Arabidopsis thaliana: one gene and its partners. The protein of the gene in region 4 interacts with the protein of the main gene of each other region in a pairwise test. Each region holds a gene or a part of one and is shown on either strand. Other genes may lie near its edges.

What was found.
Region 1: the proteins of HB-2 (region 4) and AT4G17680 interact in a two-hybrid assay, tested with the Arabidopsis thaliana proteins (one large-scale study listed by BioGRID).
Region 2: the proteins of HB-2 (region 4) and AT2G40260 interact in a two-hybrid assay, tested with the Arabidopsis thaliana proteins (one large-scale study listed by BioGRID).
Region 3: the proteins of HB-2 (region 4) and MAC5B interact in a two-hybrid assay, tested with the Arabidopsis thaliana proteins (one large-scale study listed by BioGRID).

The regions. Positions count from the first base shown.
Region 1 is NC_003075.7:9,841,995-9,846,701, forward strand, and holds AT4G17680 (SBP (S-ribonuclease binding protein) family protein), read right to left. Parts: upstream 2,341-4,707; 5' UTR 2,102-2,340; coding exon 2,004-2,101; intron 1,907-2,003; coding exon 1,836-1,906; exon of another isoform or gene 1,757-1,835; coding exon 1,506-1,756; exon of another isoform or gene 1,482-1,505; coding exon of another isoform or gene 1,434-1,481; coding exon 909-1,433; 3' UTR 616-908; downstream 1-615. Other genes in the region: AT4G17690 (Peroxidase superfamily protein), read left to right, coding at 4,133-4,707.
Region 2 is NC_003071.7:16,815,936-16,820,773, forward strand, and holds AT2G40260 (Homeodomain-like superfamily protein), read right to left. Parts: upstream 2,796-4,838; 5' UTR 2,539-2,795; coding exon 2,220-2,538; exon of another isoform or gene 2,096-2,219; coding exon 2,019-2,095; intron 1,925-2,018; coding exon 1,888-1,924; intron 1,763-1,887; coding exon 1,660-1,762; intron 1,580-1,659; coding exon 883-1,579; 3' UTR 595-882; downstream 1-594.
Region 3 is NC_003071.7:12,649,946-12,655,214, reverse strand, and holds MAC5B (CCCH-type zinc fingerfamily protein with RNA-binding domain-containing protein), read right to left. Parts: upstream 3,390-5,269; 5' UTR 3,205-3,389; coding exon 3,100-3,204; intron 2,705-3,099; coding exon 2,435-2,704; intron 2,315-2,434; coding exon 2,091-2,314; intron 1,910-2,090; coding exon 1,057-1,909; 3' UTR 879-1,056; downstream 1-878. Other genes in the region: AT2G29590 (Thioesterase superfamily protein), read left to right, coding at 227-367, 470-613; PCNA2 (proliferating cell nuclear antigen 2), read left to right, coding at 3,617-3,935, 4,424-4,576, 4,660-4,757, 4,852-5,076.
Region 4 is NC_003075.7:9,447,361-9,451,794, reverse strand, and holds HB-2 (homeobox protein 2), read right to left. Parts: upstream 2,682-4,434; 5' UTR 2,505-2,681; coding exon 2,345-2,504; intron 2,242-2,344; coding exon 1,943-2,241; intron 1,675-1,942; coding exon 1,595-1,674; intron 1,507-1,594; coding exon 1,191-1,506; 3' UTR 890-1,190; downstream 1-889. Other genes in the region: AT4G16790 (hydroxyproline-rich glycoprotein family protein), read left to right, coding at 1-48. UniProt on the Arabidopsis thaliana protein: Probable transcription factor involved in the negative regulation of cell elongation and specific cell proliferation processes such as lateral root formation and secondary growth of the vascular system.

The DNA of each region.
Region 1 (4,707 bases), 390 kb from region 4:
TATAAGATTATAATTTTTTAATATAATATGTATAAAATTGAATATAAATATTTCAAATTATGACCTGTTAACTCAGTAGAAAGTTTTCTTAAATCTATTTTCACCCGTTATAATATTTTTCATGTATTGAACAGTTTATATTCGTTTTTAAAAATTCAAATTATGGCATATGCGAAAAAACTCTAATTATTTTTTTATAATGATGATATTATTTTTTCGCAAAAATAGAATCATATAAAGATGAGAAGTGAACTATAATAATTAATAAAAAATTAATATGATAATTTAGATATCAAATCTAATTTGTTAATTTTAATTGTTTATTTTTTTGGAAATTAATAATGTATTTCGTTTTTCTAATTAAATTAAATTAATTAAAATTTAGATATCAAATCTTATATGTTGATTTTGATTGGTTATTGTTTTTGGAAATTAAAAATGTATTTCGTTTTTTAATTAAATTTAATTAATTAAATTAGTATTTGACTTTTTAATCCTTAAACAGATAAATTAATTTACTCTTTAAAATTTTATTTCTAATGGTATACCTATGTAATTATTTACAAAAAGTAAGGTTACATTTAAAATGTACTTCCCAAATAATATAGTAAGATTTCTAACGTAAATGAATTCAATTTTAGCAATTTCTTCAAAACGTTTTCTGAAAAAAAAAGCGAAGAATATCCAAAAGAAAGAAAGTAAACGAAGATGTCAAAACGAAAAAAATGCCACTACATGTGGCTATGTCCTATGTACATCATCAACTATATATAATTCAAATCTCATTTTCAATCTTTATTTTTGCCTATAGAAAACGTCCTTTTTCTGTACTGTTGTCTTGTTTGTTGCTTAGATCTGGATGGACCCATGGGCCTATAACGGGCCTATCAATTAAATACTCATCATCATCAAAATAAAACTTCGACACCGGAAGTCTTCACGGCGAGGCAAATCGGACAGACTCGCACTGCTCCGACGTCGCATCCATTACAAAGAATCAAATGTTGACACGGCAATGCCATCACCGTCGCAGATTTCCGCCGGCAAATCCTACAACTTGGTCCGATCAATTCGATCCGCTCCGGATCCACGTAAACCGATTCAGCGTCCTCTGCTTCTTCCGCGTCTCCGCCGTCTTCTCCGAACGTACTCTGTTTCGCCGCCGTATCTAGGCGGTTAGCTATGGCTTGTTGGAGATGAGCATGTAACGAGGACACCTCAGCTTCCCGCGTCGCCGCTCTTAACTGCCAGTTTCGCGCCTCTTCCACGATGTGAGCTACACGCGCTTCTAGCTCAGCGTGACGGCGCGTGGCTTTCTCCAACTCCGCTTCTTTTTTTCTCAATTTCCGTCCGACTATCTCCTCCGCAGCGCACAATAACTCTACGTAGCGTCTCTCTCTGTTATCCGCTAACGTACGCCGCAACTCTTCACCCTGCAAAATCAAATTATCAACACAAAGAAAAAACAAACCAAACCACATTTTAGGTCGAGTTTAATAAGACACCTGAGTCTGAATGAATCTGTCTAGTTCATCTCTTTGCCGTTTAATCTTTCCGGTAACATCTCCGGGAAGAGAAGAAAAAAACTGTTGTTGATTCTGTGACTGATCATGAAATAATCGAAGACCAGTGGAAACCACGTTAGGCGTTTTCTGCAACAACTCGGTTATATCAATAACTTGCGACGGTTTTGGAGGTGGAGGGTTCATCAGAGCCGATGAATAAACTTCTCTTGATCGTTTTCTTGAATCAACCCCTGTTTCAAAAACGGTGATGATTGAATGGAATTGAAGGAAAAAATTTGGAAACGATATGGGAATAATGAGAAGAGAGACCAGCTTTGGTGAAATTAGTGAAAGGAGTGTCTTGAGGCTGCAACGAACAATCACTAGCTTCTTGTCCGTTACTGTTCAATAAATTTTCATAAGAAATTGAAAACATCACATACATAATAAATACACAGGGCGTATACTATTACTATATGATTATATGAAGATTTTTACCTGTTGTTGAAGAAGAAACGTGAAGGATGCTGAGCTTGAATCGCCATTGAGCTATCAGAGAAGAGACCTATGCGTTCATTATCAGATAATAAGGGCATGCATGTGTGTTTGTGTATATGGGAAATGATGATGCTGATGATGATGAAAATGTATTGATTTTTTCAAGTATGAATTAAGAACTGAAAAAGAAAAGGAGAAAGAATGGGAGAAATAAATGGGGAAGATGAGGTTTTAGAGGGGAGGGGGACGAAAGGGTACAAAGACTTGTGGGTCTTTTTAAAGCTTTCAACATTATATGCATGATTCACACTAATGTTACCATTTTTTTTTTGCATCTACTTCTATTTTTTTCCTTAGTACTAGTACTCTTTCAATCATTCTTCAGTTGCAATATAGACTATATAGTATAATTTAGAGACTGAATCAAAATTAAAAGATGTGAACGATGTAACACTCTTCCCAAAGACCCTTCCAACCTAACTAAACCAAACCGTCTTTCAACCAAACTAATCCATTTTAGATCAGTCGATACATCACATATTTGCATGTTCCAGATGAATAATCTGTAGATGTATTCGTTAATCTTGTAGTACCTGAGGGTTTTAGCTACCTAACAATTTTCTTTTTCAATTTTTTTTTTTTGTTTTTTTTTTTCGTTTTAATTATAACTTAGATAGATCTTGGGCCAAAACCTAGATTATTATTACATGATGCATATAGTGAACCGAGTATTTCTTTTTTTTTTTCATTTAAGATGTTTACAATAACTAAATAAAAAGCTAACAATAGCGGTCCATAGTTTCATAGCAAAAAAAAAAAACAAAGAGAGAACAATAGCGGTCCATAGTTGGTTGGGATTCATATCTAGGTTTGATGTATAGGATAAATCCTTCACCACTCTTCCAATATAACCAATGTCCCAATTTTTGATATTATAAAAAGAAAACGGAGGAGTCGTCAATTATTGAAAGGTCTAGATCCATGTCGATGGCTAGATGCATATAAAGCATTAATGGATCGGACGTCATATATTCTTCAAATAAAAGGTATCAAATTAGATTATCCCTTGGTGCACTTCACGTTTCCTCATTGATATTATGCTTCACAGTTGCATATTATATATATGCTGGTGAGTCTTTTTCAAAACGATAAGCGACATACATATTCTAGCAAACAAACAATGTTCTACTTACCACATGATACATATAGGTACATAATGTTTCGTCATCAGTACACATTGCCATAGCGTATACATGAGATTACAAAAATTGAACTATATATAAAAAGAAAATCAAGCTTATCAAAATGTTTGGAGGAGTATGAAACATAATAATATATATAGGCATGATTTAATACTTTATAAACAGTAACACGTTAGCGAAAATTGATATCTAACAACAAATAATTTGGTTCTAGCATATGTTGGTCAGAAAGAATGGTAGGAATTTATATACTAATAAATGTCAACAAGATGACATAAAAATCTAGAAATGTGGTGGCAAGGTAAGCAACAAATTGATATAAGATGGATGGCATGTCCATTGTCAAGCAGTTGCATGATTTTAGTGGTCAGAACTCAGAAGTCAACATTTTTCTTAATTTTGTTTTTGTTTATATTTCAAATCAAGAGCAACATTAGATTAAGTAAAAGTTTGCTTGTATGTTTAGCCTATCAATTTAAATTTTCATATCTCTAACCATCAATAATGTTTTCTGTAGATGCTTTAGTTGATTAATCACCATTCCAAAATTCTTTCAAAAACAGGAGTAGTAATACAAAACAAATCAATTGAGTGATTAATCACCTTCACATTTCCCCAATTAGCATGCATTCCATGTTTGTGGTTTAATTAACCTAGAAGCCAATCGATTTTATAATGAATTAGTGTTAGAAAACGTTTCTAATGAAAAATGAAAGTAAAAACAAACTAAATATAGACCAATCACTGAAATAAAAAGAACATAACAAAAGCCAAACTCCAACCACACGTACATGCTTCTATATTTCACCGATAACAATTCAATAAAGAAGTCTACCTCATAGACATCTCTTTACATTTCAATTCCGTTTCCATATTTTACAAACAATATTTCTTTCACAAATCGATACGAGTCTCGTGAAATACACAATGTCTTCGGTTATAAATGTTCTCTTCGTCGTCCTAGTCTTTGTCCCGTCTATATACTCGGCACCACCACCAAATTTAACAAAAGATTATTACCAAAAAACATGTCCCGATTTCAATAAAATCGTACGTGAAACCGTTACACCAAAGCAAGGCCAGCAGCCAACGACAGCTGCTGGAACACTCCGTCTCTTTTTCCATGATTGTTTCATGGAAGGATGTGATGCTTCCGTCCTTATCGCTACAAATTCTTTCAACAAAGCCGAACGTGACGATGACCTCAACGAGTCGCTTCCGGGAGATGCATTCGACATTGTGACTCGCATCAAAACCGCTCTTGAATTGTCTTGTCCCGGGGTGGTGTCCTGCGCAGACATCCTGGCTCAGGCCACACGTGACCTTGTCACAATGGTTGGTGGGCCTTTCTATGAAGTCAAACTGGGCCGTAAAGATGGTTTTGAGTCAAAAGCCCATAAAGTCAAAGGAAATTTACCTTTAGCGAACCAATCCGTCCCCGACATGTTATCGATATTCAAGAAGAATGGTTTCACTCTAAAGGAGCTGGTTGCGTTAAGTGG
Region 2 (4,838 bases), on a different chromosome or scaffold from region 4:
GGCCCAAGATGATAAGAAACGATTATATGCGAATAACAGATACTAGCTTGTTGTCTATCGAGGAGATCAAGACATATCTCTATGTCAAGTACATCTGTCTTCTTGTCGTTCTCTCCAATTTTCTCTTAAAGAAAGTGTCTTCTTTTTTTCTTAATTAACCTCGCAACTAAATTAAAATAAACTTTGGTTGGTTATCAGAACCGATTTGTTTTTTTTTTTTTGTTTTTTTAATACAAACAAAACATTCAGCAGACCTGATTTTTAAATTAACGGACCTTTCATATAATTTCAACTACAAATCTAAAACATAGAATAATTTATAAAACGATTTTGAAGAAGGCAAAAACTCGTCTTTATAAAAATAATAATGCTATAGCTCAGAAAGCTATGACTCGGAAGTCTTCATCTTCTTTTCTTGTATTCACTGATTTGACGTTAACGTATAAATTTTCAGACAATATCTCCATGTTAAAACAAAAATATTGCTTAGGATACTTGTTATGTGAGAGTAAACTACATATACATTGCAACGTCTAGACAAGCTTATAGACAACGTGCAATGTCTTGTAACTCTCAAAACCATATATATAGACTCTCACTAATGTATTTCTTGGTTACTATACTATTTAGAAGAAAACAAATTTCTGCTCCCAACTCGATCACAAATCATATATATTTTAAAATATGCATTTAACGATCTCGACAAAATTATGTGAATTTTTTTTTAATAAAAAACATTAAAAAATGTCTCTATTATTTCCTTAATTATGGGTCTTGTCACAAGTATGCAACGAATGATAAACAACAATACAGAACCGTCTTCCATCAACAAGTACCACAAGATCTCACTTAGAATATACGTATATAAGTTGTTATACATATTCACAGAGTGAGATCAAGGGGACTTGCCAAGACCGAAATCTTTCTCTTTTTGTGATCAGTTTGATCTTCTTTCCTAATGGTTCGGTCGAGTTTTGATGAACCTGAAGATGATAACGAAAGAGACAAACTCTTGATATCTTGATGATCATCATGTTCTTTTACTTCATCTTCTAACAAGCATTCTCCAAGATTGTCGTGTGTCCGAGGTACCTTAAGGGACAAGCTTAGATCCAAATCTTGGTCTGACTTATTGCAGTCATCAGAAAATAATAACCTCTTCCTCTTCAAAACATTCTCTGATCCTTCTGCCACTCCAGCATTCTCCCATTGATAAGAATTTAGCGTTGTAGCAATATGATCTTGTGGTATTGTTGCGGTGGAGGACTTAAGATTGGAAGAGAGGCTCTGTCCCCATGATTTGTTAAACGTTTTCATACCTTCAAGAAAACTTCTATGAATTCTTGGAACAGCTCCAGCTACTCCATTGTTATCATGAACCCCTTCATGAGAATTGATTCGAAATGAAATAGTTTTGTTCTTATCGTTAAGAATACTATTGCTAACTCCGTGATATCTCTCACCAGGCTGTGAGCTAAACATTGTTTGTCTTGTTCTTGTATTTTCTCGTGTCGTTAATCCTCTCCAAGGGCTACGGTAGATCTGTCGTCTGTGGTCAGTCCACGAACCACCACCATATCTATTGAATACATTCCAAGTTACACACACGTAATTTTAACTTATAGTTTAAAGATAGCTAGCTGAAGAGTTTGTAAATACCCTAAACTAGAAGAAGGCCTTTGATCAAAACTTTGTAGCATTGGAAGTTGGCTAAGGTTGTAAGTGTAACCAGCTCCGTGTTCAAACGAAAATCCTTGATCTCCTGTAGTTATAAGAAAAGATAAAACACGAGAGACAAGAATTAGTCAATTTCTCGTCGAATTCAATTATAAGATTTATAGAAGCCCTAACTTAAATCAGAAGGTAGAAGAAAGCTAAGTAAACTACCTTCATTAGGCTCATCGGTCTTCTTGCTTCTGTACATCTAAGAAGAAAAAAAAATGAAGTATGATTTCAGATGAAGATCTCAATGATGTATATAGATATATACTCTATGTGTATGTGGATATTTGCAAAACCTGAAGATGACTCTTAACATGGGCAATACTTAGCCCCTTGACGTTCATCAATTGGAGAACAAGCTTCGGTGTTGCTCCTGTTTCAACAAAATCATTGAAAGAGACCCCAAATAAATATCAACAAGAAAACCCTAGAAATTTAGAGATCTTCACATATGCAATGATCTTGATATTGATTCATATATATAATTGAAACTCAACTATCTGGGCCACCCAATCTCTCCACAGCTTGAAGAAAGCAAATATGGAGCTCCGGCGTCCATCGCAGCCTCGGAGTCTTTGAGCGGTTGTACGGCCTCACGGATCCTCCATTCTTCTTGTTCTGATCATGGTGGTGACTCCCACTCTCTTCCTCATAGCTATTGCTAGATGGGCTCTGATCTCCAGATCTCTCTTCTTCATCCTCTTCGCCTTCTTCATCATCCTCTTCATCTTTATCTTCTTCATTCTTGGTGGTTGCTTTGATGTTGTTAGATAGACAAGTCTTGGAGTTTTCAGAATTTTGGCTGCTTGATCTCATCTTGGTCTCTAGCTATTTGGCTGTTTTTGTGTTGTTTGTTTTGAGGTTGAACCTTTTTGGTCTATCTTGGAGTTCTCTGGACAAAGATCAAACAAAGATCACACACTCATACATATGTGTTAGGAATTTAAGGTGAAGACTTTTGATGGTCTATGTGTATGACTTTTTGGATGCTTGTATCCATCATTCCTTTTTCTCCCCCTCTCTCTCCAACTCAACATATATGTTGAAATATGTATATGATGGCAACGGATATTCTAAATTCTATTTAATATATAGCTTTTTATTACACCAATGGTTTTTTCTACAGTTATATACATCTTAGGGAAAGATAGATCTAGAATTACACCTCATGACAAAAATGGTACTTTTAATTTCATTAAACATTAGTAACTTCAGTCATAAGATGTATTTTAAAATGAGTTAATAACTATTAAGTCAATTAGTACAATTAATCTTTGAATCTCGTTGTGATAGGGAGTGAAAAGAAATTCCAAGGAGTAGATTGAATTTATCTAAATAATGATCATTTTCATGGTAAAAGATCAAACGTTTTCATGATATCAACCCGTACGTATACCAATTTTATGACATAAATCAGGGTTCAATATGACATGTACATTAACAATTTTTTTTGTTCTTTCTTTCAAAACCAACTGAAGATCTATGTTTTTCATTGGATTTGGTACGTGTTTTTGTTTCATTCGAACTAGCTTTTAGCAATATAGGAAGAAGGCAACATTAATGAGGCATACACATTAATTAGATAAATGAAACTTCTTCCATCGTTACAACTCATGAATTAAATTGACTAGAAAAGCAAAGCATAAAAGGGGATGGTTAGGGGGATGGGCTCGTGACTTCAAAGCCAAAGCTGTGAAACCAGAAAAAGAAGAAACCCAAAAGCATAATTAGATAGATAGACAGAGAAAGAGCATAGAGAGAGGAATCAGACAGAAGTTAAAAGGTGCTTGGCTGGGCTGTCTTCACTGAAAGACACGAGAAGAAAATATTACTACTTGTTTCTGTCACCAACGACAATCACGGGTTTGTCTCCATCTCCACTACTCTTACGATTTCATATTATCTATAATTATCTACACATGCGCCTCTCTCTATATACATGCAAATAGTACATCTCTTTTTCTATATATAACCCAAATAAATGTTAAAAAATAAATAAATAAATTAGGATACAGAATATAACAACTGAAGCTAATAAGTCACATGATTATCACAGAATTGAACTTGAGAATTATATGAGTTTCTGTACGTACACACATGCAACCAATTGATTTAGTTTGGAATTCAGTTCAGGGGTGATTAGTTCGTTCTATATAGCGTACGTACTATTAAAATTACTAGTAAAATACTAAACAAAAGATATGTTCTAATTAAGTATGTCATACTTTTATTTTTGTGAAATTAAGGAAGTAGGCAAAGTAGGGGATGTCATACTTTTTTAAGAACTTAGAAAGGAGAAAATTAAAATGTATAATATATGATTTACTTATTGTCATGAACTTTGCGCCTCCAGGAGAGGGTCAAGGCAGAATTGTATCTATCTGTATTCCTCTAACATCAGCAGGCTAATTTTTCTTGTAAGCGACATGCAAGTACTGTGTCAAATTTTGTGAATGGTGACCAGATAATGTGAAAGTCATCGGTCAAATAAATTAGGTATATGACATTTCTTTCTGTTTTTTTTTTTTTTTTCAAAATCGTTTTTGGAAGCCCAATGTCCAGCCGTAATCGTATATTTTCGTCGTCGTTATTAATTGGTAGGAAGAATTAAAGCTGTCGTATATTTTGGTTTTAAAAGTGTAGCAATAATAATTTACGTTAGAATGACGTTCTTCATATCTACCCTATAATCCTACTTCCATGCTCAGACAACCCATGATCAATTATACGACCCAACAGATACCAAATGCTAAGTATTAATATCAATCACGGTATTGACAAAAAAAGGGTATATTAACTACGGTATTGATTTACTAAGTTATATAATCCGTTGAAATTGACCACGACACTATGCTAATTCATTTTCCTTGACACATATATGAAATGAACCAATCAAATTCTAAGCGTGGACCAAAGTCTTCGTGTTTTATGTCTCTCAACTTTTAAAATTTCGGTACCTATAAGGCTATAACTTTTTTATAATATAGGGTTTGAACTGAAGATCTGAGATTGTAGAAACTATATACGCAGTGTACACTAGACCGAAGAAAATTCAAGTAATATATTATATAATTGTACTTCAAATAATGTGCAACCATATGTGAACGTAAATATAT
Region 3 (5,269 bases), on a different chromosome or scaffold from region 4:
CCCCTTCTATTTTGATTAATTGTCGAATTAGCGTGATAGGTTTTTGGAAATAAGCTAATTTGAGGTTTAATGGCATTATTGTCAGATGTTTGAAGATGATAGTTCTCGGTGATACTATTAGTCTTTGGAAACTTGAGCAGAATCTAGAAGATGCTTGAACTTGATTGTGTCGTTTTTTTCTTTTATTGGAGACGATGTTGATATTTTAATGTTTTGATAATGTCAGGACAGAGACAAGAATTTAGCAAATGGTGCGATTGCAAATCTTGTGGATGAAGTTGGTGGAGCACTTGTACATGGCGAAGGCTTACCTATGAGTGTTTCAGTGGACATGTCTATTGCATTCCTTTCAAAAGCTAAGCTTGGTGTAAGTCTGCTCAAGTCTTTTTTCAATCTGTACTTTGGGACTGTTTGTTTGCTATAGAAATGGATTGAGAGATATGATATTGAAATGGAAATGAATTTTCAGGAGGAGTTGGAGATAACGTCGAGATTGTTAGGAGAGAGAGGAGGTTATAAAGGAACAATCGTTGTAGTCAGAAACAAGATGACCGGGGAGATTATAGCGGAAGGTCGACATTCTATGTTTGGTAGACAAGCTAGTAAGCTCTGAGTCCAACTTTTAAGTCTTGTATCACTGTAATGTCTGTTTTCAATAATAAGATTATGGTTAGGTAAATTTGGTTAGGTCCTTTGTTCTTTCTGGTTGTGAATCTAAAACCTTGGTACATAGCTTATAAAGATCAAACCATTCAGTAACTGTGATAGTTATGTTGATGAGGATGGTATGATATGTCTCATCTATACAACATTGAAAGCTGTTTAAAGAGGAATTTGAAGAAGCTTCAAGAGAATTTTGTTGTCTATGGTTTCAGCTTGGATTTAATGTGTATGTTGGATTATCAAAAATTCAAAATTATAATGTCAACAAGAGTCTACAACTACTGTAACAATTCTCTTCTCTTACATTGGAAACTAATTTTAAATAGCAGAAGCAAAAAGTCAAAATGTAGATATGGCCGGAAATTCGCACTACATTTTAACTGACAACGGTTCCTATTGAGACGAACCAGTAGTAACAGCAGCATCAGCAGATTGCTGAGAGGATCCTGAAGGTGCTGCAGACACAGAGTCAGGTGGTGGAGCAGAGACTGAACTTGGATGTGGAGGATTAGGCCTTGAACCGGGACCTGGTTGTTGTGGGTAATCATGATCAGCTTGTTGTGAATGGCCATGGTGGTAAGGAGGATACTGCTGGTAAGGTGGTTGCATATATCCTCCATATGATGGTGGCGGGTATGGCTGGTGCTGAGGATAGTGGCCATGTGGTGGCATAGTGTAAGAAGAAGAAGAAGCTCCTCTGTTGTCACTGGTGCTTGAACCGCTTTCTTTGGACGAACTAACTGCACCCATTCTCTGAGGGTCCATTGATGGGTAAAATGGTCTGTCTTGATGAGGAGGTTGTGGTGGTGGTGGGTGCATATAGTATTGTAGCATTGGTGGAGGTTGATTCTGTTGCTGAGATATAACTGCTCGAGGTAGTAAACCACTATGAGCCACACTGCCCTGTTGGTTAGAACCATCTTGATCAGGTTTGGGAACCTGAGGTCTTCCCCATGTGAGTTTTAGCCTCTGACCGTTGACAACTAGCCTGTTACTGAGCTCTTCTGCAGCTTTCTCTGCTCCTTCTCGGGTTGTGTAAGTGACAAACGCACATGCTTTCTCAGCCAAGATTCTGATGGATTCGATTTCTCCATGGGCGTAGAATTGATCACGAATGTCTTGCTCAAGGACTCTCGAGTTTAGCCCACCAACATAAAGCGTTCTGATGCTTTGATCCTCTGGAGATTCCAAAGTACCCATCTCCCCAGCCTTGCCAAGTAACTTCAACGCAACTGGATCGTTTACACTGCAGGAAGTGAAGAATAAGATGAGAAAACAGTTCCAATATCACCAAAATAACAGCCAGTTTACGCACACAAACTGATGTATTTTTCATAACTCTCTTTCATGATATACCAAAGCAAGAAATTGAGGAGTAACTCAATATTATCATACTCAAACAAAATGAAAGTTAGAAGTATGCTTACCCATAATAACGGTCTTTAATGTTCTGCTGGGATAACTCTCCTGTTTCAGGCATCTCATGACGGTATGGACACTCATCACCTCTTGTACACTCTCCCCTAATGAAGAAACTACAAATATGAGCTCGGTTCCTTTTGTAGTAAGGCGTTGTCCTTTGAAGCATACGAATGGTATCGTTGGGCCGAATCTTCCCAAAAGAAGACTCATAATCTAGTCCAGCTCTCGTCTACACAAGAAAACAAAACCATTTCAATAGGCCATTACAAAGTAGAGAAACTGTATAGCCAAATCTCAAACCAATCAATACTCAAATAATATAACTAGTTAGAACGCAGAGTCACCATACCTTTCGATCATGCTCTTCAGCGAAAAACTCTCGGTTCACATCACTTTTTGGGATAGAATCATGAGTACTAATGTTGAGCGCCGTGTCTCTGACCTGAACTGGAAGACCATACTCAAGATCCAAGAGACAAACTTGGCACACATTCTTCAACTTGCAACATGTCTGACAAACTTCAGTCTTCTTGTATCTCGCATCCCTACCAGGTCGCCATCTGAAAACCGTGAAAGGCCGGGTACAGATCTTACACTCTTTATCGTAATTCGCCTTTGTCTACATACCAAACAACAACAATAAATCAATCAATCAATCAAACATGAAGCTGCACATCACTACCAGACATAACATGAGACAGTATTCAATGAATTACATTCCCTCTAAGCAAATTTGATCAGAACAAACCAAAGATATCATTTTGAACTACAACTCCATGAATTCTGATTTTTACCAAAGGTTATGAATTGTATATTAAATCGCTTAAACCCTAAAATCTCAAATCACTAAAATTGCAGCTTCAACACTAAGAAACATAAAAGCATTAAACAAGCTCGAAAATGGACAAATGAAAGGAGATCTTAATAAAGACACATGAATGTTAAAAAAAAATCTAGCTAAAGGCAAGGAAATCGAATTTGTTTGAGGAGAAACATAGGAAGCGAAGAATATACCATTCTCACGTAAGGATTGTCACCGAGACAAGACTCACAGATGATTGGGAAATCAGAACGTTCCCATCCATCAGCCTCGTGATCTCTCAGTATTCTATGCGCCATTTCCTAATTCTCTTCCTTCCTCAATGATTTCTGGATTTCTTCTTCAGTCTCGAACACGAAGATTACCTTGAAGAGCAGATTTGCTCTCGTTTCGATTTTTTCGGGAATCTTTAATATTACAGCTGCTGTTGGGCCGAATGTTTGTTTGGCCCAATTTAAACCCATGAAATAAGAAAGCTTAAAGTGATGGTGGTGTACTGAAATAAACAATACGGACTCACACAGATGATAATTCATCGTCACACACAGGCGGGAACAAAAATACCCTAAAATCGCTAAATGGCGCCACAAAATCTCAGCTTATAATATCACTTCCCGCTAACAATTGCAATCTCCTCCCAGAAATTTCAACAGCTCTAAAAACCCTAACCGTTTCGATTCACACTCTAACCTTTCGATAATTTCCCAGAAGATGTTGGAGCTTCGTTTAGTTCAAGGTTCTCTACTGAAGAAGGTTCTAGAAGCGGTCAAAGATCTGGTGAACGATGCGAACTTCGACTGTTCGACCACAGGGTTCTCGCTTCAAGCTATGGATTCGAGCCATGTCGCGTTGGTGTCTCTTTTGCTTAGATCTGAAGGTTTCGAGCACTATAGATGCGATAGGAACCTCTCTATGGGAATGAATCTTGGTAATATGTCTAAGATGCTGAAATGTGCTGGAAATGATGATATCATCACCATCAAAGCTGATGATGGTAGCGACACTGTTACTTTCATGTTTGAGAGTCCCAGTAAGTTCTTCAAATCGATTTTTGTTTGTTAGGGCTTTGGTTTTGTTGTCAATGTTGATGCTATTGGTGACCTGATTCTGTGTTTATAGGTTTGATTTGCCAGAAGCTAGAATATGATTGTAGAGAATGATTCAGTCCATTTCTTGAAAGCTTTAGTTTGTAAGAGATGAAAGAGAAGATAAAATCTATGTTAATAGAGGGTTTTTGGTTTGGAATAAGGTTTGATATGGCTTTGTTTTTGTGTAGTTAATGATGTTATTAGTGATCTGAACTGTTATTTATAGGTTTCATTTGACAGAAACTAGAACTTGCTTGATGAGAATGAGTCCTTCCATTTTTGTTTTCAGAATAGGTATAGTCTCTAGCTTAAAGACTATAGTTTGAAAGTGAATAGAGTTTCTTGATTTAGTGAAAGTTAACAGAGGAACTTTGTTTGATATTGACTATGTGGTGTTAATCTCATTATTTAAATGGTGTTGATGATGCAGCACAAGACAAGATTGCAGATTTTGAGATGAAGCTGATGGATATCGACAGTGAGCATTTAGGAATTCCTGATGCTGAGTACCACTCGATTGTGAGAATGCCTTCTGGTGAATTTTCCAGGATATGCAAAGATCTCAGTAGCATTGGTGACACAGGTAAATGAACTGTTTGTTTATTTGGTGTATCACTGCGAGGATTCTCTAATCATGATTCTGGTTTTGATGTTATGATTTTGCAGTTGTGATCTCGGTAACAAAAGAAGGGGTGAAGTTTTCAACAGCAGGTGATATCGGGACAGCAAACATTGTGCTCAGGCAGAATACTACCGTCGACAAAGTATGAACAATCACTAGTCATCTAGAGAGATTTGTTTAATAATCTGTCCAATACAATGTTGAAGTGACCTTATGTTTGTATGTGTGTTTTGCAGCCTGAAGATGCTATTGTGATAGAGATGAACGAGCCTGTTTCGCTTTCATTTGCATTGAGGTACATGAACTCCTTCACAAAGGCTACTCCATTGTCGGAAACTGTGACCATCAGTTTGTCCTCTGAGTTACCGGTCGTGGTGGAGTACAAGGTGGCTGAGATGGGTTACATTCGATACTATCTGGCGCCTAAGATTGAAGAAGAAGAAGACACCAAACCAGAATAATGATGAATGTTTGATAGTCTTCGTTCGAGTCCTTTGTTGAAATGTCTGTCTTGATTCAGTTGTTTTCTGGATTTACTATCTTAAGGCAATGCTAAACTAGATAATCGTATGATGTTTGTCTTTCTGAAATTTGGAAAAGCTTGTTTATAACACTTTTCATCTGTTTGTTAAACATTGAAGAAAAAGAAGACAC
Region 4 (4,434 bases):
TCTATCAAGAGATCTACTAATAAGATCTCTGCAAATTCTTCGAGGTAGAACTCATTATTTATTAATAATAGGTATACATTTTAAGTATGTTTTGGTAATCATCATAAGGTTGTAATATTAAGGGGAACAAATATTTTTGTTACATTTATTCACCCACAAAAACAGGAATGGAGATCTATGTGAAGTATAAACAGATTGATACCCCTCTTTATGTTTCTAGATTTGAACATGATCATGAGATCATCTTTTTCGGGGTTTTTGTTCTTTGCGGCTAAAACGTTATAGATCAATGCTCCGATGAGAAGAGGCTACTCTCCAAAGAGAGTAAATCCGACACCAAGCTGCTTACATAGGAAAACATGAACCCTCATGCTCTTACCTTTTTAGCAAGACAATTAGTACAAATATTACTACTTCATGGCCTAGTATATCCTAAATACGTTAAACGTATCCAATCCTATTGATCATCTAGCATTTTCAACATCTCAGAGCAGTCCAATTCAACACCATTGAAAAATCAGAGTTTTAAATTTAACATGTAGTGGGGATAAGCACTTGCGTTAACCTTTCAAACCCAAGAAGTGGCCCATAGCCTAACCTACATGTTCAATAAGGCCTAAACTTTGCCCATACTCATGTATGACATATGGTAATCTCTTTCTCACTTATAGTTGTAATGGTAATGCCAGGAACACTTGGGCCCAAAGTATAAGTTTTAAGTTTTTAAGTTTAACAAAAAAAAAAAAAAAAAAAATCCTGGAAAAACTTTTAGAAATTTCAACTATTTTTAGCCCACTATTTAATATTTTTCACATAGCCACATGAAACAATTTGGACCATTTAATTTTCTTTTGCATTTCCTACATCAATTGTACTTCTTGGTTTGTGGCTACTCGCTAGACACTATAAATATTATTGCAATAAAGTTTCTTGTGATAGTTTTGTCCAAAATATTTATTGCAACAAAACAAAACAAAATGATTTCAAAGTCATAATATCTGATAGCATTGGCTCTAAATATTTGTTGTTACTTGTTAGCATGACACATATATGTTGGTTTAAGCTAGAAAAATATTAATCTGTTTTTCTTTCTTTCTAAGAAAATACATACATGTTAACAACTACATGCATATCTGGTCCATGAAACTTAAAAAACGACCAAAATGCCCTTTGGTTGCAAGTAAAAAGACTTAGGACCTAGGACGAAGAGCGTCAAAAGTCAAGCCGTGAGATATCCTCGTCGCAGGAGCCCACGCATTGACCGGCAACGACCGGTGGTGCGCTGACGTAGCAGCCTGAGGTTGTGGTGGCGGGACCGACACGTGTTCACATGAAGGGCACATGGTCAAAGTAGTGGGTGGGCTCATGTGCATGTAGAACTGAGGAGAGAGCTTAAGTGCTCTCAATTCCGTTACTTCTTTTTGTAGCCGACGGTTCTCTTCCGTTAGATTCTCGCAGCATCTCCGTAAGAACTCGCAGTCTACCTCCGTTTGCTTCAGCTTTGTTCTGTTAAACATTTACCAAAATACCCTTATAAGAAAATAGATAAATCAGGCAAATAGAGAGATCTTTTGTTTGTGTGTGTTTTATTTACCTTGCTCGTCTGTTCTGAAACCAAACTTCCACTTGTCTTGCTCGTAACCCTAATTGTTTAGCCAATGCTTGCTTCTGCTTCTGTGAAAAAAAGTTGAAAAAAACCTTGATATCAGTCTACATTTACCAAAATGCCATTTATAAATTAATATCTGCATTTATGAGAGACCGAAACAAATAGTAGTAGTAATGTTTTTTCTTTGGTCAACATGTAACAATAGTCATTTTAATGTGAATATTTCATTAACGCGTTCTTTTTTCGTTTCCACAATTTATCATAGCCATTAATTTTCCCAGTAAAACCAAACTTTCTCGGGTGAAACAATAAGTAAAAGAAGAAAAAAATTACCGGATTGAGAGTACTGTGATCTTTGAAGGTCTCTTCAAGAATAGCAGATTGATCTTTGGAAAGTCTAAGCTTTTTCCTGGAGTTATCACCATCTTCATCGTCACTGATTCCTCTTGAGCCTTGTGGATCTGTGTCTTCTTCTCTCTCGCTTCTTTTCCCTGTAGAGCTTGAGACTGTACTGTTAGGTGAAGATACTCCAGCGTCTTCGTCGCCGTATTCCGCTGTAGACGGTGGTCTGTTCACGTCGATTCCTCGGATGAAAGTTCTTGTTTCTTTTTGTGACGAATCTGAGTTTGGAACTGCATGCATAAGATTGAAAAGTAGAGTAAAAGGTGAGACCTTTAAGGTTTTTTCCGGGGAAAAATAAAAAAAAACAGAGGAACGAAGAAAGCGATGAAGTACCTGAAGAAGTAAAACTCTCGTTCCATGAAGATCTTCTGAATAATCCAAAAGAAGAAGAAGAAGGAGTAACAGAAACAGATGGATTTGATTTGAGATTGATCTGTTTCTTTGGAAAATTCAAGCCTAAGCTTAGACCCAGATCGTCTTTCTCGAACATCATCTTCTGTTGAACTTTCTCAAGATAAGAAAAAAAAACTCTGTTTTTGCAAATAAAGTTGTCTGCTTTTCTTTTGAGAGATAGAAGATGAGAAAGTAAAGGAAGAAGAAAGGTTAATATATAGAGAGGCAGAGAGAGAGAGAGATTTTGCAATCATGAGTATGTGACTAGCTGGGGGCAAAATAGTTATTATTATTAAAGTCAAGAATAAACTATTGAAAACTTTAGTTCAATGGAAATAATTTTATAATCACAAACTTTGCTTCTTTGTCCCCCTCTATATAACTCTCTCAAACCTAAACAAATTATCAAATCTAAGAAATTGTGATAAAATAATAATTATAGTCGCATCATTAATGATTAATGTTGATACTATATTAATGTTTATGTGACATCAATTTTCTCAGTCAAAGATGATTATCAAACTATCACTAATAGATAATTTTTAGGATATTCATAAGGCGAGAACAAAATCTAATCGTAGTTATCTTATTTTGCCTTTTGTTTACTTTTTTTTTGTTTTAAACATTTGGACTTATCACTTTTCGTTTTATTTCAACCAAATTTTCTGTTGTAGGTGATTGGTTAGATCGTTGAGTCGTGAGAATATATGACCTAGTCAAACAGAAATTTAGAAATCCTCTTTGACAATTATTGGAATTAGATCTTTCATTTTTCGATATATATCACTATCTGCAACTAATAAAGCATATAAATTAGTAAGTTACCATGAACAATTGCACATCCAACAATAGTAAAATCAAATTTTTATCATTTCCATGGAATTTATCAAATTTTAACTATGATTGACTTTATTTTATGAGATTATTAAAAGTGGGAATGATAATTTGATTGCTATTGTCGAGAAAGAGTAAAAAAAATGATTACCCTTCTTGATGACTCTAAAGGCCAAAGAGTCACGCTTGTTGCACACTTTAAAAACCTTTTACTTTTAAACATTAGTGATAAAGTTAATTAAAGAAGAACTAAACAAAAACGGTTGAATTGAATTCAAACTTCTTTTTATGAAAAAATTAAAGAATTCAAACTTCTTTTCAGATTTTCTTCTTCTAACGCATGGGTCGACCGCATGAGTTTTACTTTTGTCGTTGAACCACTTAATGACCAAAAACAGTACATTGTACCAGAATATAAAATACTACTATTTAAACTTATTAATAACTTATAATGATGTTTTCTTTTTCTTTTTGTTAACTTAATAGTGATGATGTTAATGAGGATGTTGAGAGAGTATCATCATATACCATAAGTCCATAAACTTATTTGTCTGAATGATTTTTGAGTTTTATTTGGTTTTATAAAAACTGATGTTTTGTATTATGATAACTTTCATTTCTCACCTATAACAAGTGTAAAAAAAGAAAATTAATTATTATTATTAAACTAATAAAATTAATTAAAAATGTAGAATTATGTGCATGTATAATAAAATTATTAAATCATGCATTGAGATAAACATGGGTTTCATTCGACTTTTTAAAATGAATAACATCATACATTAAGCATGGTTAGATGTTTTTGTAATGCTAAATCGTTGAATAATTTGTAAATCAAATGGTTACTTGTCAAATCATATAATTATTTCATATAGACCCATTTTGGTCATAAAGGTCGATTAATGAGCATCAAAATCGATTCCTTTTATTAGTTGCAACAAGATTTTTCTTGCCTTCAAATCCTTAAAGGAGATTAATTCAGCATTGACAGTGAAGGTCCCAGTGACACGCCAAAAGAAGAAATGATTATAGAGATTGAAAAGAAATTGACGGTCACCGATTAAACGTTGAGAAAACCAAAGGCTGAAATGACATCATACGGTTGAGAAACGTTTTCAGTGTTGTGCCCCACTTAATCCAGCTATATGCTTTGACAACCATCGAATATGATGAATGAATTGGATCAATATGATTGG